Linked DNA regions of Notamacropus eugenii. The protein of the gene in region 4 interacts with the protein of the main gene of each other region in a pairwise test. Links are inferred from orthologs where the notes say so. Each region holds a gene or a part of one and is shown on either strand. Other genes may lie near its edges. The genes, in order: CCDC102B, STAM2, WIPF1 and ABI2.

Region 1 (8,012 bases), on a different chromosome or scaffold from region 4:
TATGGAAAAATCACAAATAGTAAAAAGAATGCAAGTTAAAATTACTATGAGGTTATACCTTCTTGGCTGCAATGACAAAAAAAGAAAAATGAAAATTATTAGGGAGGATATGAGAGAACAAGCAGACTAATCTACTTTTGGCAGCTTTTTGCCCTGACCATTTTAGAAAATAATTTGGAATTATACCCACAAAGCCACTAAATTATGTATACCTTTGACTGAATGATTTCACTACTAGGCATATATCCCAAAGACATAAAAGAAAGGGATCAAAGAGCAAGATATGAAAGCAAATTCAGAAGCTATCTAATCCAACTCCCTCATTTTATAGATGAGGGAACTAACACCCAGAAAAGTGTAATGATTTGCCCAAGGAAATACTAGCAGTAAGATTTGAACCCAGATCCTCTGATTTGGAACCATTGTACCATGCTGCAGGATCCACATATATAAAAAAATATTCAGAGTAGCCCTTTTTTGTAGCAAAGAACTGAAAATAAATGATTTGTCCATTCAATGGAAAATGGCCATACAAATGATGGTATCTGGATTAATGGAGTACTATTGGGCTATAAGAAATAATGAGAAGGATGGATTCAGAAAAATCTGGGAAGATATGCCTCTCCTAATACAGTGAAGTAAACAGAGCCAAGAAAATAATTGATATAAAGAGGCTAACACTGGAGGAAAGATAATTTTGAAAGACATAAGAATCCGGGTTAATGTCATGTCCAACCACAGCCTCAGAAGACCAGTGTTGAAATATTCTTCCCAGCTCTTGAAGGAATGGTTATGGACTAGAGATATAAGAATGTGACATAAATTTTCAGCTATGACCAATGGGTACATTTGTTTTATTTGACCACACTAACTTGTTAAAGGCAGAGGTTGTTTTTGGGAAGTGGAGAAAAATTTGAATCTCTCCTCTCCTGACCACTCCTGCCCCCCAAAAAAGAGGGGATATCAATGAATCCTTAAAGAGAAGGCACAGAGAAACGAATATGATTACGTTTTAGTTTCATATATAGTTCTTTTTTATTGTTCTCTGTAAAAGTATGCATATTTCTTGAGTACAGAATGACAAAAAAAAAAATTTTAAGGTATTGAAAGGGAGAAAAGACTGAAAGATTACAGAAGCAACTAATGTGAATATGAAAAACAAAATCACCACTGTTCAGAAGAAGTTAAATGAGTAACAGAAGATATAGTTTGTCCCCAGTGGAATCAGGATATAAACCCATATCTATCTTTGTCCTATTTTGGAAACTAGTGAAAAATTAAATGTGGAATTCAATTGACATAAGTGACATCTACATGGAAAATCCCATGCTCTTGTATAAAGAGTAGATCCATGCTTGCATGACATAATTGGGGGAAATGCCACTATTGTCTTTTGGGGCTCTAAAAACAATATATAAACATCATAAAGAATATTTAATAGCATCTTCATCTCAGGACTGAATCCAACCAATATTTATAGAGAAAGTAAAAATATAATCAATGAAATGGTTTGCTATTACACAGCAGGATAATCTCTAGAGATGTTTGGAAATAAACAATTTTAAGAGAATGGTGTACATTCTTCCCCTGATTTTCAAAATAAATATTTTTACTTTCTAATCAACAATATAAAAGCATGGGAAAACTGCATTGGTACTATATTAAAGGATATTCTCTTAAATTTAATGTTGTCATTGAAAATGTATGGGTAAGAATAATAGTATAGGAATAATTTTTTTCCAAACTAAGATCTTCTGTTGGCTGTAAAAGTATGGTGATTTACTTACGTGAAAAAAAAAAAAAAAACTTTTTTCTACTATGTTCTAAAGCAACTATCCTGGGATCAACAATCCTTTGATCTAATCCTTTGAATTCTGATATGTTCGTCAAAATTTAACTAGAAATTGAAATGCCCTGTCCCCAAAGAAAGATTATAAAATCTGATATGTGAGCTGATTTAGAGAGGTGAAAAAATCAGAATTGGTGTGAGAGTGGCTAGAGAGATAAAATAGAAGGATTAAGTTTTTGAAAGCCATCTGTTACTTACATTTATCCAGTAGCTAATCATGATTTTAGGAATTTCCTTTCTATTTGCCAAACCTACTTCACATTCACAGGTAATCAAAATTATGATCTTTTTTTTAAAGTAACAGAAAAAGTAAATCTCTCAAGTTGTCAAAGAAAGAATTTTTGTTGTTGTTGTCGAGACATAGCATTACTTCTCTGTGTAGTTATATTTTCCATTCCCTTAGTATGTCTATGTATTAACCTTTATTCTCTGTCCCTCTCTCTTCTACAATGGAATCCTGTATTTTCCATAAGGAAATTCAGATCACTTGTGGTTGCTCTGAAATGTAACATATCTCTTTTGATCACAGGACTTCCTGTCAACAATTACAGGAATTCAACAAAAGCTCTAGACATTTCCAAAGGACTTCAAGTGCATGAAGCATAAATCTATAGTTTTGATAAGCAATGTTACCTTTTTTACTTCTTATAGCATAAAATAAAGCCAACATTTCTGGTATTTCATTTTCATCTTTTACTACCAAAGTCTGTAAAGTAATATCTTCAGTTACTATCTATATTTGCATGCTAAAACCTTACCTGGTTATGATAACTATACAAATATTTTAAACACAGGAAATATATATGCTGTCAAGATAAACAGTACTAATAGTGGAAAAATGAAAAAAGAATGGGAAAAATACATCCAACTTAGCAAGAAACTCCAAATACGTCTGTTTCTTCCGTTTCACAGACCCACAGTAGTCTTGCTCTGTGTCTTATAACCAACTACTTTTTCCCTTGCTCAGAGAACAACTCATGCTCTACCCCAGCAGGAAAGTATAAAAATTAAATAGAAAAACCACAAGGTTATTAAACACTCTTACCCTCTGGACTTGCTGGGCTGCTCTTGCTTCTCAGTGTTACAGACACATGTGTAAACAACTGAATTTCCTGCATCCTTTCCTCATCTGTACAGCTCTGGGGTCTTGGCCAACAGGATTATATCCAGCATTAAGGCCACTCCACACTAACTCAGAAAGGATTCCCATTGGTTGTGAAGCTTTATCAAAGCCAATACCACAACAGACTCTTTGGATTTCAACTTAGCTAACCAAAATAAATTCTTTTTCTACTGTCCCCAAACTAAACGTGAGTTTCCTAAGCTTTCCTTCCCTACCTTTTCAAACTATATACTATGAACATATCAGGAAATCTAAACATAGTGTCTCATTAGCAAGTTTTCTACTTATTTTCATGTCATTATATTCAGCCAGTCACTATTTTAAATGCAACAAAAATGCCAAAAGAAAAACTACTAATGAACAAATCTGCAAAGGCAAGGCATAAACATCCTTTGTTATAATTAACAATAGAAAAATATCTGCAGTATTCAGTATATCACTGTAACTTGTTTTGTAAAAGAAACGCAGTAAATTTAACGAAATGTTCTGGTAAATAAATCACAGTTCAAGATCTCTGTCAGAACACTTGATCTCAGTCAGACTGATAAGAATTCTGAGTTTCCAAGTCAAGGACCCCCCAGTGAGAGAATTTTGGCTCTGAATCTCAGTGGTTTATCTGAGTGACTTTCCATTGACATGACTCAGCTGTCAAGATCCACTGAGGGAGTGGTGATGTTTTATCCCTTTAGGGATGCAAGTAAAAAAAATATTTCAAAGGTTAACTCTAACATTTCAAATTGTCCAGAGGAAAACTAAATGACAAAAACATCATATAACAGGAAAAAAAAATTTTCCTTCAATTATTTGTATTTTCTCTCCCTTTGGTTTAGAGGATTAATCTTTGTTATTAAATAATGTGATGTTATCTGCATCCTCTGGTGGCAGTAATTCAAATCAGATATGTACCCAATAGGCTACTAATTATACTGTCCTGGTCATATGAAAAGTTGAGAAAGAAACAGCTACAAGATTCCCATTGTATGGAAAGCCAGAATTAGATCCTACTGGATGTATCACAGACTCCACAACAAAGACAACTCACAATTGCTCTAAGAACAAAAAGAAACACCTATTTTGCTTTTCAAATCCTTATCATCTTTCCCTTCTGCTTTTTTTTCTAGCAGCAGAACAGGTTTTTTGACTCAAGTTCTTCTGAGAGCTCTGTCAATTTTTGTTTGGCTCTATGCACCCTATCTTCCAGATCAATGTTTTGCTTATATGGAGATCATACTTTCTTTTCATTTCAATAATAGCATTACTTTAATATTATTGCTTTTTGCTTGTCTTCTAGATTGTCCTTCACTATCATGTAGTTACATTCCCAATCAGTTATCCTCTCTAGTTTCTGTGTTGATATGTGTCACTGTGAATTCAAATTTTTCTATTTTGTTAATTATCTCTGCTGTATAGGACATAAATTCTTTTACAATTTTTATTTCTCTTTTAAACCACTCATGGACATGTGGGGAGGGTATATAATTGAGCTCTGCTTCAAGTCTATTGGTTGACTTGTACAACTCTGCTACTAGAGGGTGGGTGGGGAACATATGCTAACTGAAATTTGTTAGCGTCTAGAACTTCTTAGATTTAATTCACTGAATTTTTACCTCATTTGAGTTCTTGGTGTTCTCTCTTACTCATAATTCCTATTTCTGAAAGGTTAGAAAGATTATGAGAATCAGAGATTGCGTCTGCTCCTCCATTTTGCTAATCATATGACCTTGAAGTCGATCTGTCTATATCATTCTCATTCTGTCTCTGTCTCTGTTTCTGTCTTTGCGTGCGCTCTCTCTCTCCCTCCCTTCCTCTCTCCCTCCCTCTTTCTCTCTCTCTCTCTCTCTGTCTCTCTCTCTCTCTCTCTCTCTCTCTCTCTCTCTCTCTCTCTCTCTCTCTCTCTCTCTCTCTCTCTCTCAAAACAGGACCAGATTTAGGTGATCTAATTTTAAATCCCATTCCACCATTACATTGTTCCATAGCCTTGAGCAAATCATATATTCACCTAAGGCTCAGTTTCCTGATCTATAAAATGGAGTTAATTATATTTACAGAACCTTCTGTTCAATGAAGTTTTTGTAAGGAAAGCATATATTGTAAATTGTGAAATGCTACATAAATACTCACTGCAATTGTAGGTATTGAAAAGATGTGTAATGAATGAATGAATGAATTCAAAATGAATCATAGAATCATTAAGCCCACAAAACATTTCACACCTAATTTTTTAAAAAGTTATTTCTATTGATGACTTTTGTCTTTAGCTTCAAATCTATTTCTAAATATATTACTCACTCTCCCCACCCAGTAAACCACATATTATAATAAACACTTAAAAAAGCAAAGAAAAGTAGTTTAACCAAAGAAACCAATATATCAACAAAGTTTAGCATTATATGAAACACTGCACATTCATGTTCCTCCACCTCTCCAAGCATTTATTGAGTGATTTTTGTGCGAAGCACAATCTATGAGCTCCCACTTTTTTGCTAATTCTTCCTTTCTAAAAGAATGCTGCTGTGGTTTGCTTTTTTTTTTTTTTTTTTTTTTTTTGGTATATAAATGATCTATCTTCATACATCAATTTCCCTGGTATATGCTTTTTATACTGTCATAGCATATATGGGCCAAAGCACATATGGACACATTAATCACTTTTTAGTATAGTTCCTGATAGGATTCCAGAAAGATAACATCAATTAACAATTTTACTTTAGTGTGCCTGTATTTTTTCAGACCCTCTATCTTTTGTAATCTTCTCCAGTTTGCCAGCTATGTTTAATTCTTAAAATTCTTTGATTTTTATTCCTATCATTATTACTGATTTGTTAGTCTTTTTTATTTGTTTAATATTTTATTTTTTCCAATGCATGTAGAAATCATTTTTGACATTTTTTAAAATTTTGAGTTCCAGATGCTTTCACATTCTTCCTTCCTCCCCTCCAATCCGTCTGAGACAACAAACAATTTGATATGGGTTATACATGTCCAGTCATGAAAAACATATTCTCATATTAGTCATGTTGTAAAAGAAAACATAAACTCAAAAAAAAAAAAGAAAACACAATTTAAATATGCTTTGATATAGTACGTTTCAATCCACATTCAGACTCCATCGGTTCTTTCTTTGGAGGTGGATAGCATTTTCTATCACAAGTCTAGCAGAATTTTCTTGGATCTTTGTAATGCTGAGAGTAGCTAAATCTTTTACAACTATTGACACAATATTACTGTTGCTGTGTACAATGTTCTCCTGATTTTGCTCACTTCATTGTGCATGAAAATCTTTCCAGGTTTTTTTAAAGGATCCTGCTCATTATTTCTTATATGACAATAGTATTCCTAGTGCAACCGTATACTACAACTTATTCAGTCATTCCCCAATTGATGGGTTTCACCTCAATTTCCAATTCTTTGTCACTATAAAAAGAGCAACAATATTTTTATACACATAGGTCCTTTTACTTTTCATAAAAGTCTCTTTTAGGTACAGATCTAGTTGTAGTATTGATGGATCAAAGAATATGGGCAGTTTAATAGCAATTTGCAAATAGTTTCAAATTGCTCTCCAAAAATGGTTGGATCAATTTACAACTCCACTAACACTAATTACTGCCCTCATTTTCCCATATCATCTCAAACATTTATAATTTTCCTTCTCTATCATATTAGCCAATCTGATAGGTGTAAGGTGGTACCTCAGAGTTGTTTTAATTTGCATTTCTCTAATCAATAGTGATTTAGAATATCTTTTCACTTGACATAGATAGCTTTGATTTCTTCAACTAAAAGTCACCTCATCATATTCTTTGACCATTTATCAATTTGTGAATGACTTGTATTCTTATAAATTTGGCTAAGTTCTCTTTACATTTGAGAAATGAGATCTTTATCAGAGAAACTTGTTATATATAATTTTTTCCATTTTCTGATTTCCTTTTAATCATCTGCATTAGTTTTTGTTTGTACAAAACCTTTTTAATTTAGTGTAATCAAAATTATCCATTTTATAAACCATAATGTTCTCTATTTCTTGTTTGGTCACAAATTCTGCTCTTATCCATAAATCTGAGAGGTAAGGATTTGTTAAATTCTTTCAATTAGCTGTTAATAATTTGAAATTCTTTTCAAAATCTTTTGTTGCAACCTTTAATGAATTATTTAATTGAGGAATTGTTCTAAGATATTTTTATGTTGACTATTAGATCTAGTAGATCCATACTAGAAAATAGTTGATGAAAAAAAATTTAATGCACAGTTTCCCTTATTAGACTAAATACATATTTTTCTCTACTAGTTCTTACTGAAACTTGACTTTCCCCTGATGACACAGCCTCCCTGACTATTCTTTCCAGTATTGGCTGTACTTTCATTCATTCTCTCTGGTTCATGGTTGAAGCAGTGGAGTTGGAATTCTCCTTGCTCCCTATTGTCATTGCAGGTTCTCTCCCTTCCTTCTTCACTCAGGAACTTCTCTACCTTTGAGGTTCATGCTATTCATATCTACTATCCAATCAAAATCCTAGTAGCTGTTATCTATAAACCTAAATGTTGCTCACCTACTTTCTTTAATGAGTTCTATAAGTGGCTTGTAATTATTCTCTCTTTCTCATCTTCAGCACTCATACTGGAGAATTTCAACATGCACATTCATTCTCCCTTAGATACCTCACAATTCAGTTATCAACCTGCTCATTCTCATGAGTTTTTTCTCTCAGCCACTCACAAAGATAGTCATGCCACTGATCTTGCCATCACACACAAATGTACCACCTCAATGTTCAGGAATTCTAAAATCCCCTTAGTTTATCATAACCTATTGATTTTTCAGCCCTCCCTGTGCCTTTCCTTATATAACCCTAATTTTCATTTTCACCATGACCTCTAATCCCTGGACCCCTCAATTCTGTCCAAGGCCATCTTGCATATACTAGCATTCTCTCCTCTTCTTCCCCTATTCACTCCTTTATGAAGCAATTCAAATCAACATTAATGTCTTCTCTTAAATATTTAACCCCCTTATTATATCACCCACTACACCCAGCC
Region 2 (7,586 bases), on a different chromosome or scaffold from region 4:
TATAAAAATCAGTTAGGTACTAATAAAAATGTAGAGGACAAGATAACCACAAAAACAAATCTTTTTCTATGCTTGTAAGGACACACAGAACTTCATGTATTTATCTTACTAAACACTGATCCTACTCTCCAGGTACAGAAGATTTCACACAGGGCTCTAAGAAGATAACACTGCCTCCTTCCTTTTAGACTGATGCCATCCATGGAAATCAACTTCATATCCTCATCTCCATTCCTAGATAATACCAGCTTACATTATAATTTTAACATTTTCAAATTGCTTTAGATAAGAAATATGCAATATTAGTAATTATTTCCCCCTTTTTTTGAATTAAAGCATTTGTGATAGGGGTGGGGAACCTGTGGCCTTGAAGCCACATATGGTCCTTGGGTGTGGCCTTTTGACTGAGTCCAAGTTTTACAGAACAAATTCTTTTATTAAAGGGCCACACTTAAGGACCTAGAGGGCCACAACCTAGCAGCCCTGACCTGGGCCTGAGTCTTGTATGCTACCTGATACATGTCAGCTTCTCTGATTGGAGGGTGGGGCCATGAACTCCTGACCCCCATTTAAGGAAGTAGCTCAGCTCAGATCATCTCATTTCTCACCAGGTTGCATTTCTCAAGGACTTCTCTGACTTTTCCAACATGACCCCAAAGTTGGGTACTTTCCCACTCTCTCTCCCTGCTTTTCAGGTTCTTTTTTGTGTGCAGTCTCCCCCCAAAGGGCTGTAAGCTCCTTGAGGACAGACTCTTGTTTTTGTATTCCCAGCTTTTAGTAGCGTCTGGCACACAGAAAGCATTAGTAAATTGGTGACTGAAAAAACTAACAAGAAACCTTTTGCTAGATCTCATTTCCTCAAACTAAGCTCTATAGCAATCACTATCTCCCAGGTCCCTCATTGCCTGAGCTTCTTTACAACCTCTTACCTCAAACTTCAATCCCCAACATTCTACTGAAACAATTCTCTACTAAGTCACCAAGAAAGCCTATGGATTGTGTAATATTTCACAACTCTTCCCCTCCTTGAAATCTGATTCTCCTCTAACTTTCCAGTCTTGTAACATTACTGAACTCAGAAGCCTTCTAATCCAATTCCTTACTTTTATTGATAAGGAAAAAAAAAGGCCCAGAGATGTTAATGACATGCCCATGGGCACACAGATGGCACAGAGGTGAGACTAGAACCTAGATTCTCTGATACCATCTCATTCTACTTCACTTCATAGATCCTAAGGGCAGACAAATTACTCATCTCTCTCGTCCTGCCCTCTCCTCTCATTTTTCAAATATTGTAGATTTTCTTCCCCTTGTTCAGAAATTCCTCCTACCACAATTCCACCTGAGAAATTATTCTCAGTCTTTAAAGTCCACCAAAGGTGTCCCCATTTCTATGAAGTGATCTTTCTCAGATTTCTTAGTATCTCAACCTGCTTTACCACATTCTATTCTGATTCACTTTGTGTACCTATTTCCCTTGAAAGTTCCTTGAGGGCAGGGGATGTGCTGCTTTTCCATTTCTGCTGTCACAAGTGCTGTCACAGTGCTTTGCACGTAGGATCAGAGATCAGAACTGGAAGAGGCCACCTCCGGCTTTACAGATGAAGAAAGTAAAGCTCAGAAAGAATAAGGAACTTTCCCAGAGAACTAGAAAGAAAGAGTGACTTGCCCAAAGTCACAAAGTAGTAAGCCCCAGACTCCATATTTGGGGTCCTCTGACTAAATCTGGCTTTCCTTTCATTACACCCGTAAGGCGGGCTTAATTATTAATTAATAACTAATTAATAAGAGGGGCTGATTGAGGTCAGGAAATCTGTTGCAACCACAAACCAGCTGGATGACACCGGATGAGTCACTGAACCTCTACACCCCTCTTACTCATTTGCAACATCCTACCTATGTCACAGGATTGTTGCAATGGCTGAGAACAGATAACTTGAAAGAGCCGCAAAATAAACTCACAAGCAGCGTAAACGTTCACGACTCTGACGAGCTATAAACAATTATTTGGTTTTCAAAGAAGAAAATCTTAATTACTAAAACAAATACATAATTATGAAATTCTACGCGGCTCAGGCATGCTTTCAGTCACTTTGGGGGATATTCTATTATGTAGTTTTTAGTCATCCAATCAACCAGCATTTATTAAGCTCCTACTACATGCCACTGTGATAAGCGGCAGGGACACAAAGAAAGTAAAGAACAACAAATCAAGCTCTGCCTTCGAGAGACGACGTGCAAACTTCGTATGAACGAGATCCAGTACAGAGGATGAATTTCGGATACCAAAGACACGTACACTGAGGAGATCCTGAATGCGAGATGTTACAGGAGAGGTTTGAAGGAAGCCGGGGCAGAGATGAGGAGAGAGCATCCCAGTCATCGGGGGACTGGGAGAGCAAGTGTCTCGTGTCAGGAATTCCTCAAGGTCCAGATAAATACTTCATGTTTTTTTTGGCTGTTCCACGAATATGTAAGAACAGTCTAGCTCCAGTTCCCCCCCCCACCCCCCAGATGCATTCTATTAAAACCCACACTCCGGAGAAGACTGAAGGTCTCCAGACCCGACGGACCCCCTACCCTGGGACGGTCAGGGGTCTGCTCCTTCGTCGCCTCTCCACGATATTCTAGAGACAACGTGGTTCTCGCTGCTGTGGACCCGGGTCAGGGCACAGGGAAAGGCAGCAGAGGAGCTTCCACTCCACGCCCGAGGGGGCCAGGCTGGCCCCCCAGGGGTTGTCTAGGATAGTGCCCCACCCCCAGGGAGAGGAAGGGCAGCCAAGAAGCGGCCCAAAGAGACGCCGCCGCCGCCCCTGCTCACCCCGGCCGCGTCTCCGGGGGAACAGCCCTTGTGGCCCACGGCCTGGCCCGGCAACTCACCAACATCCTGCTCAAAAGGATTAGGCGTAAACAAAGGCATCTTGCCGCAACCCGGTCCGCTCCAGGTGAGGCGCGATAAGGGCGGCAGTGGCGGCGGCGACAATTCCTAACCCCTCTCCTCGACCCAGCGGCCGCCGCTTCCTGGACGGTCCTCCGGCCCAGCCTCAGCACTTCCGCAAATGCAGCTGCCCCTGCTCGTGCCTGAGTCCAAGGGGCCGAGACCTCCTCCCGAGCCTCCTGAGCTATGCCTTCCCTTGGCTATACTCAGAGAGGCTGTCAGCGTTCTTCTCCGCTTCCTTTTCCCTAAGCAGGCCCAAAGGAGGGCAACTACCTGAACTCCAGTGTCACGCGGCCTTCAGGCGTTAGCTCCAACCACCTTCCGATCTCGAGGACCCCTTCCGGAATAGGGACCTTCGAGGACCGGAAGTTGTGACAGGAGCCTGGAAGCTGAGCGTCAGGTTGGCTAGAGTCCGGCACAAAGGCCGATGGGTGGCAGCAGGGGGCGCCCGTGCCCAGGCTTTTCCACAAGGGTCCTGCGCCTTCCCGGCAACCTTCCAGGGAAGCAGCAGTCCTTAAGCGCATAAAACAACACAGCCCAGCATTTCATTATTACTCAGCCTCCTCCGTAGGCCCTGGGTTCTCTGGAAATGGGGGTGATCTCCAGTCGTGGTTTTCCCGGCGTGATGGATGTAGTGGGAAGAGCTGTGGACTAATGAGACCTAGGTTCAAATCATGGTGTTAACATTTGACTCACTGTGTGATATGTTAATATTTTGAAGTCTCCGGTTCTTCCCCCGTGAAATAATGGAATACCACTTAATTTGCAGGGTCGAGAGAAAAGCGATAGGTAGGTGTACCCGGCTGGTTTGGGATCGAACTTCTCCAGGCTAGAGGTGTATCTTCCAGGACTTGCCGAGAAGGCTTGTGGGAAATGTAGTCCAGGACTGTTTGTCTGGGCGCTCCGCACGCCCTGAGCGGGGAGGTTCCGCCGGCTGCGGCAGGTTTTGAGGGGGAGTGCTGATTGTTCTGGTATTTAAAGGGAGAAGAAGGAACAAACGCCGAGCAGGGGATTTCGGTGGCAGTCCGTAAAGAGAAAGGCGCTCCAGCAGGCATGTTGCAGGGCGAGTCTAGACACTGGGAAGGTGACCTCGAGGGGCAGCGAAGGTGATGGGGCCCCAAGCCCTGGAGCTGCCTCCGCTTTCAGCGGCCGGGATGGGACCGTCGGAGGCCGCTGACCAATGAATTCATGATTAAAGCTTTCTTATGAAGCCACGCGGGCACTGGGCATGCAGAGAAAAGCAAAGGAGCTTTTGGGGGAGACACGGAATACTGGGGGAGACCACATGCACAGTTACGTACAAACAAGCTAGATGCAGGATCAATCGGAATCACTGAAAGAAGACGTTGGTATTAAGGAACACCGGGGAAGACTTCTTATAAAAGGTGGGATTTTAGCTGAGACTTGAAGGAAAAAGGACAGAAAGGAGGAGGGAGGGGCCCGAGGAACCACCAGGGACATGTGGGAGATGGAGAACTGTGTCAGGAGCAGCAGCATTTTACGTTTGATCCAGGAGGTCATAGTGAACCTCGGGGTTGTTAGGGGTCTGCTGAGACCTGCGCTTGAGGAAGATCCCTAGACTTAGGCAGGGAGACCACCCAGAAGGTTATTGCCATAATCTAGCTGTGGCAGTGAAGTGAGGGAAAAGGGAAGAGGGCATGTAGAAGAAGCTAGAATCAGCAGGGGTTGGTGACAGTCTGGATGGAGAATGAGGAGTTGAAAATGACACCTTCTCACCTTGTAGTGAGAATGGTGGTACCCTTGACAGTAAAGAGAAAAATGTGGGAAGGTTTGGGAAAAGAAGAGAATGGGTTCCTTTGGGACATGTCGACTCTAAGATGGCTGTGGGACCTCCAGTTCAAGATGTTCAATGGCCAATCAAGAAATGTAAGAACAGAGGTTAGAAAGGTTAGGTCTGAAGAAAGAGAGAGAATCATCTATGTAGAGATAATATTTGAATCCATGGAAGCTGATTAGATTTGCAAGAGAAATAGTATAAAGGAAGGAAATGACCCAGGACAGAGACCTGGGTAATATCCGCAGTTAGTGGCCATGATCTGGATAAAGATCCAGCAAAGGAAACTAAGAGGAAGCAGTCAGATTGGTAAGAAGAAACTCAGGGAAGTGAAGTATGTTTTCCTCAGAAGCCAGTAGGCTCTCCCATTGAATTCAAAGGACCTTGCCCACTCTTGAATGAGAGATAGAGCAGACTAAGGAAAAATCATGACCACTAAGGAGGAAACGGGAAAAAATGGTGCAGCATACATTTGGAAGATGGGGAGCTAGCTAAAGTGAAATTTTTTCTGATTATAGCACCAATGGGATATTCACAGCACCTACAGTGGCCATGAATATCCAGCACAATTCTGAATCACAAAATACAACAGAATCTCCGCATGGAAGACAGAACCAAAACATTTATTTAGACCACCAGAAAGTCCAATTCATCATAGTAAGAAAAATCTACACACAATAACAATGCAGAGGACAATACCATCCCCAAGCCTCCCCCCTGCTAGGTTTCCCACAAACTAGTTCCTTTAAACAAATCATGAACAAGCTCTCTCACTCACACTAGCCAGGTGCCTGCTTACCTCCATCCTTCCTGGCTCTGACTGCTCTGACCAAATTTTCTCTTAGCTCTACTCTAGCTCTGCCTCTTCCTTTCCCACTCTTTCCACTTTACCCCTTCCTGTTCCATGTGACTTGACTCATGTGACTGAGGCTTCCATGTGACTTAAGCAGGTCACATGGGCCTATTAATGGATGGGAAAGATCTTCTCATTACGAAGCAAAATTACGTTAACAATAAGCAAAAATGTATTATCGATACACTGGTTTACCTCTGATACTAACCACCCTAGTTCTGCACAAATTCTAATATTTGTAAACCTTAAAATCCTATACACTCCTAAGATCTGTGTTTGTCCTTCGTTTTTGAAGAAGATCATGACATCAGAGAAGTGATGACATAACTTGCACTTGACTTTGCTTTGAGTGAAGGAGGGCTATGTAAGGTCACCAGTCTCACTTCTCTTCCTGAGCCATCTGGATCCAGTGATCAAATATTCATCAGGATGACTGGAGATGACCCAGGATATAATGGGAGACCTTGGCCTTTTTAGGCTTGCCTTTTCAGGTGCTCATTTAGAGAGAGGTAACACCCATTGAGTGAATAGGCCTCTTTAAGAAGTAGTCAGGGAATGGCCTTTTTAATGAACAAAAGAAAAAATAACTAAATCATACGGGCTGTCATGGCATGGCCTCTAGGAACCCAGGATCACCTCCACAATTTGAGAAGGCATCAGGTAGAACCTTTCTGGAACTATAAAAATTTCAAAGGAAGGAAGGATTTATTAAGCACCCTCTGTGTGCTAGGCACCATGCCATGTGGTCTACAAATATCTCATCTGATCCTCTCAACAATACTAGGAGATAGGTGCTATTGACATATAGCTATTGTTATTACATAGCTATTTTTATATAACTTTTGTCATTCTCAGATGCCTACCTGTTCCACATTCAACTCTTGCCTGGTGTACCTTACTATACATATCAATAACTGTACCCTTAGGTTGGCACAGGGCACATTTCATTTTTCCAAAACTACTTCACACATACTAAAGATTGAATTGGAGGACAACCTCCAAAGACCATGAGTAGAATGGGCTAATAGCAGAGATTCTTAACATTTTTTATGTTAAGTACTCTTTGATAGTTCAGTGAAACCTCTAGATCCCCTCTTAGAATGATGTTTTTAAATAACTGAAGGAAATAGTGAATGTTTTTTAATTTTTTAAAATTAACTCATCTATTTTTAGTTTTCACCAGACACTTCCACAAGATTTTTTGAGTTCCAAATTTTCTCCCCATCTCTTCCCTCCACCCACTGCAAGACAGCATACATTTCAATTAGCCCCCCAATCTGCCCTCCTTTCTATCACACCCCTCCCTTCTTTTATCCCCATCTCCTCTATTTTCTTGTAGGACAAGATAGATTTCTATACCCCATTGCCTGAATATCTTATTTCCCAGTTGCATGTAAAAACTTTAACATTCATTTTTAAAACTGTTGCAGCTTCTCTCCCTCCCTCCCCACCCATCCCCACGGAGAAGGCAAGCAATTCAATATAGGTTATCCATGTGTAGTTATGCAAAACACTTCTATAACAGTCATATTGTGAAAGACTAACTATATTTCCCTCCATTCTATCCTGCCTCCTGTTTATTTTTTATCTCTTTTGGCCCTATCCCTCCTCAAAAGCGTTTACTTCTAATTACTCCCTCCTTCCATTTTTCCTCCCTTCTATCATCTCACCTACCTCCTGCTTATCCCCTTCCCCCCTACTTTCCTGTAGTGTAAGATAGATTTTTCATACAAAATTGAGTGTGCATGTTATTCCCTCCTTAAGTCAAATGTGATGAGAGTTAGGTTCATTCTTTCCCTCTCACCTCCCCCCTCTTCCTCTCCATTGCAAAAGCTTCTGATGAGTCCATAGGCTTTAATGGATTGCCAAAGGGACCCATTACACACATACACACACACACACGCATCCATACATACATATACAAAGGTTGTAAGCTCCTGTTACAGACTGTGAAGTTCCCATGGTAATGGAGTAAGAAAGCAAAAAAACAATTTATACAG
Region 3 (7,439 bases), on a different chromosome or scaffold from region 4:
AATGGTCATTTTCGAACTTCTACAATGACATTCTTCACACCTTTCACATCCTACTGGTCACCACTTCAGCCACCCTTCACCTTTATTTACCCATTATTTATCTGAGATTCACAATAACAGACGTGATTATCTCCATTTTAGAGATAAAGAGACTGAGGCTCAGATAGGTTAAAGGACTGGTCCATGATTGCACAGTTACTAAGTCCCAGAAGCAAGATTTGAACACAGGTCTTCCTGCTGCCAAGTCCAGCACTCTATCCACTATTTCCCTCTTCCTCTCGGGTATAAGACTAAGAGGGACAAAAATGAAACAAGAGAGGGGTGCCCAGATCTAGCCTGCTCTGACCAACACCAGTTGTCTAGGGCTTGCCTTCAAACAGACCCACCCTTTGTTAAACTAAGAAGTTTCCAAGTCTAATGCCAGTTCTGCATTTGGACCACCAGGCAGAATTCCTGCCTGGGTCAGCTTGTTTCCTTTTCCTGGTGAGAGCACTGACAATTAACTTCTTTAAATCTTTGGAAGATATTATTAGAAAAAAGCAAAAGAAAGAGTAAGGAACTGGAGAAACAAATGATTGCAGAGAAGTCTGGGAAGAGTATATCCTATACTTTTGAAAAGTGCTGGGTAGAATTGGCAGTGATTTTAAGGTCAGTGACCATATGCACACACACATGCATACACGGATACCAGCAGATGCAAAGAGGGAACGTTTGGAGGAGACATTCAAGTAGGCAAGAGTCCAATTTAAGGAAGGAACTGAGGAAGGTGATGTGTTAGTGGACTATACAACGGAAAGTAACTGTTTCATTTTAAAAAAAGCTGATGGGGATGCTGTACAAGTCTCTTTTAGCTTTTCTCCTCTTTTTGGTGCAGGTAGTGTGCAAATTAGCTCTGGACTCGTTATGCCTCCGCCCAGAGCAGCTCGAGTACTGGATTTTTGCAATCTCGCCCTATAGTCAAGCGGAGCCCAGGAAGGGTTGTCAGTTTGCTTTGTCCCGGAGCGCAAGGGCAGCACCACAGTCACCTTCTTCCTAAGATCTCCAAGTACCTCTTGCCCTGCGGTCCCCGGACTGCCCCATCCCGGCCAGAGGGGAGGAATCAAGAAGGCGAGGCCATCCGAGAAAGCGCCTTGCCGGCAGCCAAAGGAAAAAGTTAGCCACTTTGTGAAAGCTGGATGAAGGAGCTGGGAACACATCTGGGAGAGCAGGGCCTGGGAGGGGACTGATGTTATTCAACGAAACCCACTCTTGGAGTAAATAAGGACTGTTTCGACATCTCTCTCTTTTTTTCTTTTCTCCTTACTTCCCACGTCACTATCTCCTTCTTCTCCCCCCTCCCACTGATCCCCAAAGTAGTGTTTCCAAATCCCCCTCCCAGTCCGAGGGAAGGAGCAGGGCATTCACTTCTGCAGATGTGCCTTGCAGACCAGAGAGAGGGTCTCCTAGCCAGATGCTGCACTCATAACCTCCAGGCTGCGAGGGCTCAGCCCGACCCCGAAAGCCCCGCTTGCTGACAGGCGCGCACAAATATTCATCCAACTCCCCCTAATCCCCCACCTCGCCCCACCTTCTGAGCTGGAGCCTGGTTCTGAAAGTGGGGGCGGGGGCGGGGGGAGAGAAGATAAGCCAGGACGAGGAAGAAAACGCGTCTCTTACCGGGTGTGCTCCGCTCCTAGAACCCTCCCCGCGGGCTCCCTCCCGGGATGAGGGCGGCGGTCGCAGCTGCAGGCGGCGGCTCCCGCTTGTTCCCCAGCAGCTGCAGCGCACGGGGCATTTTTCTCTGGAAAACTTCTCCCCGGCGGGCAGGAAAAGCTCTCTGCGCTCGGAGGCTACGACCATCCGGGAACTTCGCGGTGATGTAAACCCTCCCACTCCAAACATTACCTCCCCCACCCCCCTGCCCGCCCCTCTACCGGCCCTGCCACATGTGGACTTAGCAGGCCGCTGCTGCCGCCGCTGCTACAGCTGCCACTGTGGACGCTGGAGACCGCTTCTTTCCTGTCTTCAGTCAACAAACTGTTGAGCGCCTGCCGTGTGCGAGGCACGGAGGTTAAAAAGGCGAAGACGTCGCTGTCCGTCTCCTCCAGGAATGTATGGTCCCGTAGGGGGATGGCACATGTATTCCCATAACTAGTATTTATGGCATAGGAGACTGGGCACTGGGGCTTGGAGTCCGGCAGACTTGGGTTCACGTACCAGCTGTGTGACCCTGGGAAGTCATTTAACCTCTCTTTGCTCTGTTTTCTCATCAGTAAATGAGGCGGTCGGATTTGATCTCCAAGGTCCCTTCCAGTTCTAAATCTACGACCCCACGTTAAAATGTGATGAAAGGATTTACAGAGAGAAGAAAAACAGAAGGGTGTGAAGAACCTGGGGACCTTGGAATCTTAGTTGGGTGGAGAGAGGAGGGAACAGGGAAAGGTTCTCGAAGGGGGTTGAAGGAAGAGGATTTCCAGAGAGAAGAGTCATAGTTTGAAATATCACAGGATTTGGAGACAGGAAATCTGAGTTTGAATCTGTGTTCCATCACTTTCTGCTTGCATCACCTTGGGCAAGTCACTTAACAATGACGGGTGGAGAGACACTGTCTCAGTTTCCTTTTTTCTAAAATGAAGGAATGAACTGTATGATCTTTAAATTTCCTTCTACCTCTGACAGGGAATGTGGGGTGGTGGAGGTGAGAGATGCTAGGAAGAGATTCGAAATAGCTATTAGTTCACTTTAACTGGAATAGAGATAGGCATGAAGGGTTGTGTGACGTAATAAATCCGGAAAGATGGGTTAGAGCCAGTTTTGAATGCAGGATAGGGGCCTTGAACTTTATCTCCTTATATCAATATCCCGCAGGGGCCTTCTTCAGAAGCAGCTCATTTGGGTATGGATTGGGGGAACAGGAATGTAAAAGCTCCATGTGCCTCTTTGTCTAGGTGAAGAGTTGTGCACACTGAATCATAATCTGAGTTGTCCTAAAATTTTTTTTCTGAAAAACTAAATTGTATCTTTTAAAAACTTATCCAAAAGAAATATAGATGTCTCCACATCCAGAGAAAGAACTTGGGGGTCTGAATACAGATGAAAGCATAATATTTGTTCTCCTTTTCTTTTGTTGTTTCATTTTGTTTCTTCTTTCTCATAGTTCCTTCCATTGGTTCTCATTCTTCTTTGTATCATGATTAATATGAAAATGTTTAATATGAATGTATAAGTGGAGCTTATATCACCCCATCTTGGGGCGGGGGTGAGGGGGAAAGGATAGGGAAGAAAATTCAAAACTCAAAATCTTATGGAAGTGAATGTTGAAAACTAAAAATAAATTAATTATATATAAAAAAGTAAAAAGAAATATAGATGTCTTTCAAAGTGGAAAAAAATGAGAAAAATAATTTGTTTTGATGTAGCATTTGATAATAGTCCTAATGAATTATTAGAAATTATTATCCTTTTACAAATAAGGAAACTGACTTTCACAGGGGTTATGTGGCTTGTCCAAGGGTCCCACAGTCAGTAAGTCCATGGCTGGGATCTGAAACAAGGTACCTCCTGACTCTAAGTCCTGAGCAGTGGAAAATGATAAGATGTTTTGGAGCAAAGGGAGTAACATAATCAGACCTATGCCTTAGGAAGATTATTTTGCTACCTCAGTGTAGGATTAATTGGACAAGGGTGAGACTGGAATGAGGTAGCTCAGGTGTATAAAATAGTATAGTCAAAAGGTGATAAAAGTCTGAACTAAGATGGTAATGTGGGAAGTAGAAAGAAGGGAACAGATGAGACATTTTGAGAGGGCAGAATGAACAGCATTTGACAATTGGATATGGGAGGTGAGGGAAAGGGAAGAATGAAATATAGTTGATTTGAATGAACTTGGATGACTTGAGAAGATAATGGTATCATTAATAGAAACACAAAAATAAGGAGGAGGGATAAGTTGTTGTGGGTTTTTTTTTCCTCTGGGAAGCTTGAGTTCCATTTTGGATATGTTGAGTATGAGGTGTAGGAAGGTCATACAGGTAATATGGCAATATGCTTGAAGGTAGATGTTGGAGCTGGAGATTTAGATTTGATTATTATCTTAGTGGGAATGTTTGAAACCAGGAAGTAGGTGAGATCATGAAGGTCACTTTCTAGAAATTTAGCACTGAAAAGGAGGATAGAGAAGAGGAGGGAGTCATAGATAGAACCTTAGGGGATAACCACACTGAAGTGGCTATTATAGGATGAAGAAAAAAACTAGTGAAGAAGCCAGAGGAGTAGTCAGAAAGGTAGGAGGAGAACCAGGAAAGTACATTGTAATGGAAGGCAAAGGAAAAGAAAGCAAAAAAAATGGAGATGCTTAAGAATTGTTTTTTAAGCAAGAGTTGATAAAAGGTTTTGGTTTAGGTCAATTGGAATATCATTCTTGGGTTCACAGAGAGTAGTTTCCCTGGTGAGGTAGGGATGAAAGCTGTATTTCAAGGGATTATTGAGAGATGCACAGGTGGTAAGGAAGTGGAAAAAGTGCTTGGAAAAAAAGTTTAGCATCAAAAGAGAAAAAAGAGATGAAAGATGAAAGAGAATTGCAAGGTAATGGCAGAGACAAGGATGTGATCAAGAGTTTAGGTGGAGTAAACCTGGACAGTGAAGAAAGAAGTCTACCCCCTTCACTCAGGAGGGAAAGAGAAAAGGATGAATGAAGACAGAAAAAGATTTTTCCATGTGAAGGAGAGATGAGAGATTTCATGTAGGATAGCTTCAGTCTGGGGAAGGCAAGGTCATTTGTTGAGAGAGAAGATGGGTAAAGGTTAGGAGTTTGAGAAATTTACTGGGCAGTCCATCAGAAATAAATTTAAATATTATTATGCAGTAGTGAGGGCCCAGTTAGATTCAATAGCATGAATATTATGCATATTAATAGGTTTCCTTTAGCAGCTCTCAAGTAATAATCAGAAATAAAAGGGGAAGCTGCAAATAAGGTGATGAGGTGATCCAAGGTTGAAACAACAGAATTATGTTATTAGATGATTTAAGCATGGGTCACGATGCCTCGTTTTTGAAATGACTCACTATTATCACTAATCGTCAAGACTGATAAGGGACATCTTAGACCTAGAATAGGAATGGACTTTAGGGAGATGAAACTACAATGGGGGTAGTGATAGGAGGATATAATTGACCTCAGGGTGAAGGCAAAGAAGAGAGTCAAGAAACGGAGGTGGAAGTATAGAAAGATAGACAGATTGTCACCTAAAAAGAGAATTTCAGAGCTCTGGATCTTGAAGGCAGATGATGTGAGGCCTGAGATAGGAGATAGAGATAGAGTAAAATGGAGATTATGGGAATTAGAGTGAAAAACTGAGACATCAATTGAACTGAATTGAATTCAATAAATTTATGCTAAACATTTACTATGTTTGGAACACAATTATTGGTGGAGATGAATACCTTGCGCTTTGGGAAGGATGGGCAGAATTGGAGAGAGTTAAGAGAACTCCAGCCTTCTCCAGTCCCCCTGTGGGGACTCTCCAAGTGAGAGTCTTTTTAGAGCTTCTATTTGACTTCGGGGAGAGAGAGAGAGAGAGAGAGAGAGAGAGGAGATGGAGAAGATGGAAGAAGCCAACCTTACTCCAGGTTGCAAAAGGAAAAGCCTCTGGGAAGATATGAGAGGTGCTTGTGGTCTCCATGTCCCTATTTTCAATTTGCTACTCTCGAGACTTTGGGGAATTTCCCTTTGGGGGAGATCTGGGACATTTTGATGGTTGAACTGTAATCTGGCTCCTAAGGGGAGAGCTCCTTCATTCTGTATTGTCTTGTATATATTCTCCTTTGATTTGTTTTGCTTCTGATTTGGATGTATGAGTTTTTTTGTTATTTGCTATGTGTGTTCATTATGCAATGGTATTGTGTGGGAAAAGGGTCAAGCCTTGGCTATAGAACTTGAGGTTCTTCTTTCTACCCAAATGACAAAGAGAACAGAAGTTAAATGGAACCTGAACGTATCCCCTATGTGAATAATATTTAAGGAAGTTGAATAGATATACTTCTGGTCCCATACAGTCTTTCTCTGAGAAGAGTATAGTGGCCTAACTTTCTGCTTTCTCTCCTGGCAGGAATGAAAATCTCCTTTGGAGAAGGGTGGGGGTGGGGAGGGGAAATAGGCTAGAGATGTCTATTCTGCCTCCTTTCAAGTCATGTATGGGTCCCCACCTTATACTTGTGAGGCCCATTCTCTCTACTGCTCTTCATCAATGGCTCCTCAGTTGTTTCATACATGTACTAGTATTCCTCTTCATTAACAAATTAGTGTTTAACCTTTATTTTACTAAACACGTGTATTTTAGAGAAAGAATGTTAGATTATTTGGGCTAAAGGAGAAGAATCAAAGATGTAAACATGCCCTACCCTCCACTCAAACTATCATACTATAGCTTTACTCTCACAGTCAACTTACTATAAACAGCTGTCTACAATTGTTGCCTCCTCTTTCCCACATCCCACTCACTTCTCAGTCCCTTGTAGTCTAGTTTCCACTCTTACCATTTGATCAAAACTATTCTCTCTCAGATCACCAGTGGCCTCTTTATTACTAAATTCATTGACTTTTTTTTTCAGTTCCCATCCTTCTTGACCTTTCTGGGGTATTTGACAGGATCGACCACCTTCTCCTTCTGGACACTCTCTCTTTCCTGGGTGCTGATGATACTCTTTTCTCTTAGTTATCCTCCTATTTATCTGATTGCCTATTCTCAACCTCCTTTACATCCATGAATATGATTATGTATATTAAATAATATGCTAAAAATTAAATAATAAGAGGAGGAGATGATCCAAGGTTGGGAATTAGCAGGTCAAGGAACAGCAACTGTATGTTATTAGATGATTTAGACATGAGTCATGATGCCTCCTTTTTGAAATGGCTCACTATCATCACTAATCCTCATGACTGATAAGGGACTACAGGATCTTAGACCTACGACCTTGGGCAAGTCACTTAACCCCAACTGCCTCATCCTGGGTCATCTCCAGTCATCCTGATGAATATCTGGTCACTGGATTCAGATGGCTCTGGAGGAGAAGTGAGGCTGGAGACCTGCACCGCCCTTCCTCACTCAAAACACAGTGAAGTGCAAGTCATGTCATCATTTCTCTGATAGCATGGTCTTCTTGGGCAATGAAGGACAAACACACAAAAAGTAGGAAACAAAAATATATTAAATATTCATTATAATCAAGTTGGATTTACAGTAGGAATACAATGACGGCTCAATATTAGGAAAACAACATAGTAACTTATTAACAATAAAAACAATTTTATAATATGTTTATACCAACACATGAATGTTTTTGATAAACTAGCACATGTATTATATTAAAAACACAATCATATCTTTATAGTTATATAATTAATGGCCAGAATATATGATCCCACAAATCTTCTAATTTTGAGCCTTCATTGGATTCCT
Region 4 (7,023 bases):
CCTCCTCTGGACCCTCCTAGCTTGAGAGTGATTATCAATAGTAACGGCTGCTGTTTCCCACCCAGGCTGATGTCTTTCTTTTTCTTGACCTCATTAAAGGGGCCATGCCCTGGCTACTTCTTAAACAGACCTATTCAATGAATGAGCGTTGCCTCCCCCTAAGTGAGTGCCGGCAAAGACCTTGGCCTAAACAGCCCAAGGTCTCCCAGTGCATCCTGGGTCATCTCCAGTCATCCTGAGGAATATCAGGTCACTGGATTCAGATGGCTCTTGAGGAGAAGTGAGGCTGATGACCTGCACAGCCCTCCCTCAAAACAAAGTGAAGTGCAAGTCATGTCATCATTTCTCTGATGGCATGGTCTTCTTCAGCAACGAAGGACAAACACAATTGTAGAATTGTAGAAGGAAGGAGAGGGGGAGGCAGACAGGAAAGAAGGAGGTGAGTTACCCAGCTAGCTGGGTCCCCATTCAGCCAGCAGCATCTACTACTGTGAGTAGATGTGAACATATGTTTAATATGAATGTATGTGTAGAGCCTTTGTTTGAAATTTGATCACAAATCTACCAACTATTTCTGGTGTCCCAGTGTCAGGATAACAATTTAATATTTTGTAGCTACACTGGTCTTTTTTCAATGTCTTTAGCTAGACGAGTACAAAATTTACCGTACAGCTTTCACTGGCAACAGAATGAAGAGAGAAGGAAGATTTCTTGGAGCATCAATGACTCATTTAACCTCTAAGCTTTATTATTCCATATAAGTTTACCTTTCACCGACAACTGTAATTCATAAAGAAATGAAACTTTTTACTCTAGAGATCTTCAATAAAGAGAAGTGGAGGTTGGAGGCCTGACCCAAAAGGAAAAAAAGTCATTCTCTTCTTTCCCTCTTCTCAACCTTTATTTTCACTTTATAATAAACTCCTAATCACAAGAACATTTTTTCCTTTTTTACCAATCCTGCAACCTATCCATCTATTCAGTGATCCCTCGGAAAATGCTGATGATTTCCTTATTTTCAATAGCATGTTACCAACTCCTCCAAAGTGGGTACCAATAGTCCTGTCTACCTAAGGCTATCCCTCCAATCCACCAAATCTCTTCATAACCACTATCAGTTGAAATTTCTTCTGTCCCACAATTCTTTCCTATTGAAAAAAAAGACTACATAGTAGTGTTTCCCAGTAATGTTTCCAATTCTGACAAGACTTTTCTTCCAACTATCTCTGATCACGAGAAAAATCTTTTGGTTTAAATCTAATTCAGTTGAGTAGAAATGTTCCCTATAAAACACTGTGAAAAGTCATTACATATGCTAATAGACTAGTTAAAGTTCACATCTACAATTCTTTCCTATCCTTACAATCACATATAACATCCAAAAATCGGTGAACTTATAAATTTTACCCTGAACTTCTCTTTATTAGTTTTATATTGTACCTGAAGGTTAAGGGCAAATGCGAACAAAGGGAATGGAAAAAACACAGGGAGGAAACATTTTCCACTACCACCTTTATCCCTGGAGAACATAAAGAAAAACAGAAGACCTATAACAAACTATACGGTAAGCGAAGGATATTCAGTTCAGGAATTCTATATTTAACAAATTTTTCCAAACAAACCATTCCTTAAGGGGGGGAAAGGGCTTTTTAAAAGGTATCTGTGCTTTCACATAAACCCAAGCATTATCACAGAAGTATCCGGATTCCCTGTCTCCCACCATCCAGTCAGTCCCCAGTTGGAAAACTGAAAGAAATGATGCCATGAGGTTCCTTCCTTTCATAATAATGTGTGTCAAGTATGTACAGTGTTCCTTCCCAAAGGGAAAAAATCATCATTTAATTTAACTGAAGAGAAGATTCTTTATAGTGCGGCTTCCCCTTTTCCCTTTTGAGAAAAAAAATGACAACTTTCATCAAGAAACTAGTGTTTTCCCATCGTTTCCTTGCAAGTCCTAAGAAGAAAAGAGAAGAGAAGAGAAGAAAGCCCTTCGGAGAACCCCCGAGCCCAGCGAACGGGGTCAGGCACCCCGCGGAGCAGCGACCTCCACCCCCAGCGCCGACCTACAGCGCAGGCAGGGGAGCAGGGCGCGGGGCTCCCAGAGCCACTGACACGAATGAGAACGAGAAAGAAGCCCCCACCCACCGAGGAGATGGGGGGGAGCGCTGCCCACGCCGCTCAGCCTCCCCCGCCATCCCACGCGCCGGGCGGGGGGTCAGGCGCGGCTCGGGAAGCGCTGCCGAGCCTCAGCCTCCTGACCCCCGAGCCACCCCCCCCACCCAGGACAAGCCCCGGGAGGCAGAGCCCCACAGCCGCCGTCACAGCCCAAGACTAGGGGGCGGAGGGGGGAGGGGAAGGGGAGGGTGGGGGAGGGGGAGCAGAGAGGAGAACTGAGGGGGAAGGAGCGGGGGAGGAGAATGGACGGGGGGGAGGGGCAGGGATCCCTAAGGCCCCCGAGCTCGCTCCCGCCGGGCAGCTTCGGCCCCCGGGAGCACTGCGGGTGCCCCCCCGCCCCCCGAGCGCCCCTCCCCCAGCCCGCCGCGGCCCGGGGGATGCCGACCACCTGGATGTAGTTGTTCTCGCAGTAGTCGGCCACTCGCTCCAGGTTAGTATAACTATCGAACAGGGCCCGGCGGCCCCCCGGGATTTCCTCCTCCAGCAGCATCTGCAGCTCCGCCATCTTCACATCCTCCTCCTCCTCCTCCTCCTCACACCGAACTGCGGCGGCGGCGGCGGCGGCACCAGGGAAACCCAAGACCGGAGAGGAGGAGCAGCGCCGGCGGCGGCGGCCACTCGCGGAAAGCGAGAATCTCCCCCCTGCTGCGCGCGAGGCGGGGAGGGGGAGCGAACGAGGGAGGGGGAGGGGCCGGGGGCGGGGCGCGCGCGCGGCCTCAGGCCGGTCACGGGGGCGCGAGGGAGCGGGGGCGCGAGAGAGCGGAGGCGCGCGCTCCGGAGCCCTCCGCTCCCGGCTCCCGACCCCAGGGCCTGAAAGCCTGATTCCCAGCCCCCGCCCCCTTCCCTCCACTTCCGGCGTCTCCTAGCAACGGAAGGAGGCGGGAGCCTGGGATGCGCTCGGGTCTTCGGGTCGTAGGGTTAACCCTTGGCGGGTGCCGAAGGTCGAGGGAGGGGAGCGCTCCCTCCCCGCCCCCCCCGCACCCCGACCCCCCCAGCCTCCGAAAGCCGAGCGCAGGCTCTCCACCCCCTCCCCCGGCGCCCCGGGCCTTCCCGTGGAAGCCTCAGGGCCCACTTCCCACTGGCGCTTCCCAAGCCGAGGATCACCCCGTCCACTTTATCGAGGTGAAGACTGAGGCCCACCAGAACGGTGACTTGCCCAGATCGGGCCCACCCCAACCCCCCAAATCCTCGGGATCCAGATCCCGTGCCAGGAGCCCTGCCCAGGCCTTCCCCACTACCCTGGGAGGAAGGGGCTGCTGTCCCTGTTTACGGATGAGGAGACTGAGGCAGGCAGCACGCAGCTCGGGTCTGGCTCCCCCGGCCGGACAGCCGCCCCGGTTCCGGTTAGAGAAGACTCCCCGAGTGTCCCCTTTCCTCCCTCCGCGTCTTGGCTTCTCTCACGGCCGGATCTCCGGCCCTCCGGAGCCTTCTCCTCTCCGCTGCCCGCTGTCCACGTTCCCGGCTCGGCGCTCGGTGAGTCGTCGCCCCCCTTGCCCTGAGCTTGCCTGGGGGTCCGTCACTTCTCTGCCGCCTCCCGCCGGTTCTCCTCAGGGAGTTAGCGCTGAAAACTTGCAGAAACAACTTTGCTGGTTCAGAACTTCCTTCCTCCAAGAGCGGCTGGGCAGAAGTCCCTCGGAAAGTCCAGAACTGCCCCCAAAACGCAGGGCAGACGAGCTGCCGTTGGTGAGAGTGGCCGTAGAATCCGCCTGACATGCTCCAGGAACGACCACTTGAACTGATTCTAAAAGGGCAAAAAATAGAATTGGTCACAATGTATCTATTACATTTTCTTTCCCTCCTTCCCAAATCCTGACTCTTTGCCCTCACCTAATTAAGTCTGTATCCTCTTGGCACCATGGAGAACCAAAGCTGAGGAGGCTAAATCCCTAACATGCAAGTTTACAGTTTAGATCAAGTCTCTTTTCTTCCTCTTTGTATTGGTACAATTCTTGCTTTTAATCTGCCAAGATCTTACAGTTGTCCCCAATCATAACTTCCTTTTCTCTGGCTGACTGTTTAAATCCTCATGCGATTATGCTTCCCAAAAGCAACCACCAACTTTAATACCTTTTCACCATAAAGTTTTTTCTGAAACAAATCCTGATTTGAGAAGTGTACCATTCTTGGGAAGTTCATTGGTGGCCATGTACACAGTCAGGATCAAAGAAGGGAACCTTGGAAGCTATCTGTTCTAGCTTCATTTTACAAATGGGGAAAATGAGGCCTGAGAGTTAGTTCCACGTCCAAGGTCACGCACATAGCACATGGCAGCAGAGCTAGCGATCAAACTTGTTTTCTTCCTTCCACACACAGCATACATGAAACTAAGCGTGATATAGGCAATGACCTTTCTGTCTGGGGATAGTTTTATTGCAGTGCCTTTCTCTATTCCCAGTGCTTTGCATGAGAGACTTGGAGAACTGGGCAGCCATAGGTGAACTTTTGTTAGTTTGCTGGAAAAGAAGCATCTAATGTATGCTGACTCGATAAATTTAGCAATCAGAAACTAAACAGAATGACGTGGACTTTCTAATCCTAAGTCATAGCAAGGCCTCTGACAGAGAACAAAGATTTAGACCCCTGATAACTAGAAAATACAGTTTTCTAAAACAGAGATAAAACTTAAAACATACACTAGCTAGCAAGAATGGCTCTGGCTCTCTGTTCGAAAGAATTTAACCTGGAGCATGGAATCTTCTTGTGGAGAGGAAGTATATATTCCAACCAAGGCTTAGAGAAACAGGAGTTTTCTTCAAATGGGAAGAAAAACCACTGAAGGCTTTGTTTTGGTTTTGATGTTTCCCGTCTGATGACTGAATGTGTTAGGGAGTTAGCCTTTCAAAAAAAGCTGTATCTCTTTCTGAGGTAGCACCTCAGCTGAGGACTTTAGGGAAAGCTAGGGAAGGGCTCCAACTTCTTGCCCAGCGGCCACAAGCCTGGCAGTAACCATCAGAAAAGTGGAGGCCACACAAGGCTAGCAGGAGTAGACATCTGACAGAGACTAAATGCCACACTCAAATACCAGTCAGAGACAACACACTTGGCAGAGACCGCAGAAATGTGAGACCAGCAAGGAGCAGTAAAGCCCTTCTGCTGTGCAGTGCCAGTATGAAGCCTTTCCTTGGCCACATACATTCCCTTTATATATGCATCTTGACATGTGTGCCATACGTATATCAATTCTTACCATGGATAGTGAGTATATTTGGGAGAGAGTGTATCCCAGGCTTATGGAGGAAGCATACTCCTTTTTAATGTAATTTCATTAAGTGCCTTTGCTGGGAACTAATTATGTCCTCAGAAGAAAAAGTGGGAGGTTATAAGCTATGGTTTTGAGTGGATACTTAGGTAGGCTCTTCTAGATGACTGTCCATGAGATTTGGGAGGGGATGCTCCCAGTTTACCATATGTTATATATATCATATAGCATGTGATATGAATAACATATTAAAGTTAATCTGAATCAGACTCTAGGAATTCAAATGAGAAGGTTCTGATTTACCTTGGACACCTTTACTCCTCCCTTTCTTAATCACATTCCATGGTTCATGGAAAACATTCATTCCAGGATTTTCTGAAGATAAAATTTCAGTTCGTTGTAATCCACAAAAGGTTAAAAAAAAAAAAAAAGAAATTGGTTCAGTGAGAAAAAGTACTAGATTTGGAGTCAGAGATCCTGGCCTCAAATTTCAGCTCTACCATTTACTATTTGTGTGACTTAAGTCATTTTACCTGCTGGTCTCAGTTTCCTTATCTGTAAAATCTAGGCATTGTATTCAATAGTCACTAAATCCCCTACAAACTCTAAATCTGTGATTCAGGAAAGGAATAGTGAAATTTTTGGACTATTTTTATGTTTAAGTAATTACAAGTTTATCTAGTATAATATAGAATTCAGACTTTTGTGATAGGGCAACTACTGTTAATTAAAAGAAAAAAAATTTCGCTAACGTGAACAATAGACTTTCATGGGTAATATAATGCTTACGTAAACAAACAAGTAAATTAAAAATAAATCACATCAAGGACATTTTATATGAGACTAAACTTATTTAGATCGAAACAGTGGATCAAAAAAGATAAGAAACACTTAAGTTTGATCCGATCTTTCAGTCTGTATCCTATTACACTCAGCCTATCTAATTTCAAATGATGACTAGTAATTAGCCCCCTAAGTTGAGCTAAGGGAATGGTTCATCAACCTAATTTGTAACAGCTGGAGATCTCTGGTGTCCAGAAAAGAGCTTTTAACTCCCAGATTGTTAGAGAATCCAAACATCCACCGTTATGCCTCTGTTGCCGAAAAGAAGAAAAAAAGGAAAGAAAAGAAAGCGATAACAACTGCAAATTCCAAAAAGGTCTAGTAGTTATCATTAAGAGAAAAGGAAATATAATTATGCTACACATAGTTCCTCCACTAATTAACAGTACTGTTTAAGTTGCTGAAGGAAACTGAAATTTGTTCATATCTACAGATGAGTCCCTATGTAATTGTATCAGATGAACAGGTAAAATAGGAGCCATTTGTTATGCCCCTAAAGAGTAACAATTATAATGTTAGCAAACATTTCATGAGAACCTTATGAGGAGTGAGTCTAGAGAGAACCATTCATAGGAATGAGGACTTGAGAGAAGCTGAAAAGATGGTTTCACCTGCCTTAGCTGAACATGAGCTGGAAAAGACTTGTGTCTTCAGAAGGTGGACATATCTTTTATTGGATATTTCTTTCTTTATGAAACCATTGTAACCTTTATCTTATGATGAGGATCCTTGTGAAGAGACTATTTGTTATTCTAAAAACTAAATGGTACAAAATGAGACTGTTTTCTAATAAATGAAGTCATCTA

The links.
Region 1: the proteins of ABI2 (region 4) and CCDC102B interact in binary tests that used the Homo sapiens proteins (3 or more experiments, as listed by UniProt). The link is inferred for Notamacropus eugenii from reciprocal best matches to the Homo sapiens genes ABI2 and CCDC102B.
Region 2: the proteins of ABI2 (region 4) and STAM2 interact in binary tests that used the Homo sapiens proteins (3 or more experiments, as listed by UniProt). The link is inferred for Notamacropus eugenii from reciprocal best matches to the Homo sapiens genes ABI2 and STAM2.
Region 3: the proteins of ABI2 (region 4) and WIPF1 interact in binary tests that used the Homo sapiens proteins (3 or more experiments, as listed by UniProt). The link is inferred for Notamacropus eugenii from reciprocal best matches to the Homo sapiens genes ABI2 and WIPF1.

Annotation. Positions count from the first base shown.
Region 1 is NC_092875.1:218,775,613-218,783,624, forward strand, and holds the start of CCDC102B (coiled-coil domain-containing protein 102B), read right to left. Parts: upstream 3,007-8,012; 5' UTR 2,895-3,006; intron 1-2,894. UniProt on the Homo sapiens protein: During interphase, forms fibers at the proximal ends of centrioles to maintain centrosome cohesion. During mitosis, dissociates from the centrosome following phosphorylation to allow centrosome separation. Contributes to CROCC/rootletin filament formation.
Region 2 is NC_092876.1:209,401,290-209,408,875, forward strand, and holds the start of STAM2 (signal transducing adapter molecule 2), read right to left. Parts: upstream 3,012-7,586; 5' UTR 2,921-3,011; coding exon 2,881-2,920; intron 2,688-2,880; exon of another isoform or gene 2,581-2,687; intron 2,487-2,580; exon of another isoform or gene 2,300-2,486; intron 1-2,299.
Region 3 is NC_092876.1:236,944,814-236,952,252, forward strand, and holds the start of WIPF1 (WAS/WASL-interacting protein family member 1), read right to left. Parts: upstream 3,004-7,439; 5' UTR 1,657-3,003; intron 1-1,656. UniProt on the Homo sapiens protein: Plays a role in the reorganization of the actin cytoskeleton. Contributes with NCK1 and GRB2 in the recruitment and activation of WASL.
Region 4 is NC_092877.1:299,597,880-299,604,902, reverse strand, and holds the start of ABI2 (abl interactor 2), read right to left. Parts: upstream 3,004-7,023; 5' UTR 2,681-3,003; coding exon 2,564-2,680; intron 1-2,563. UniProt on the Homo sapiens protein: Regulator of actin cytoskeleton dynamics underlying cell motility and adhesion. Functions as a component of the WAVE complex, which activates actin nucleating machinery Arp2/3 to drive lamellipodia formation.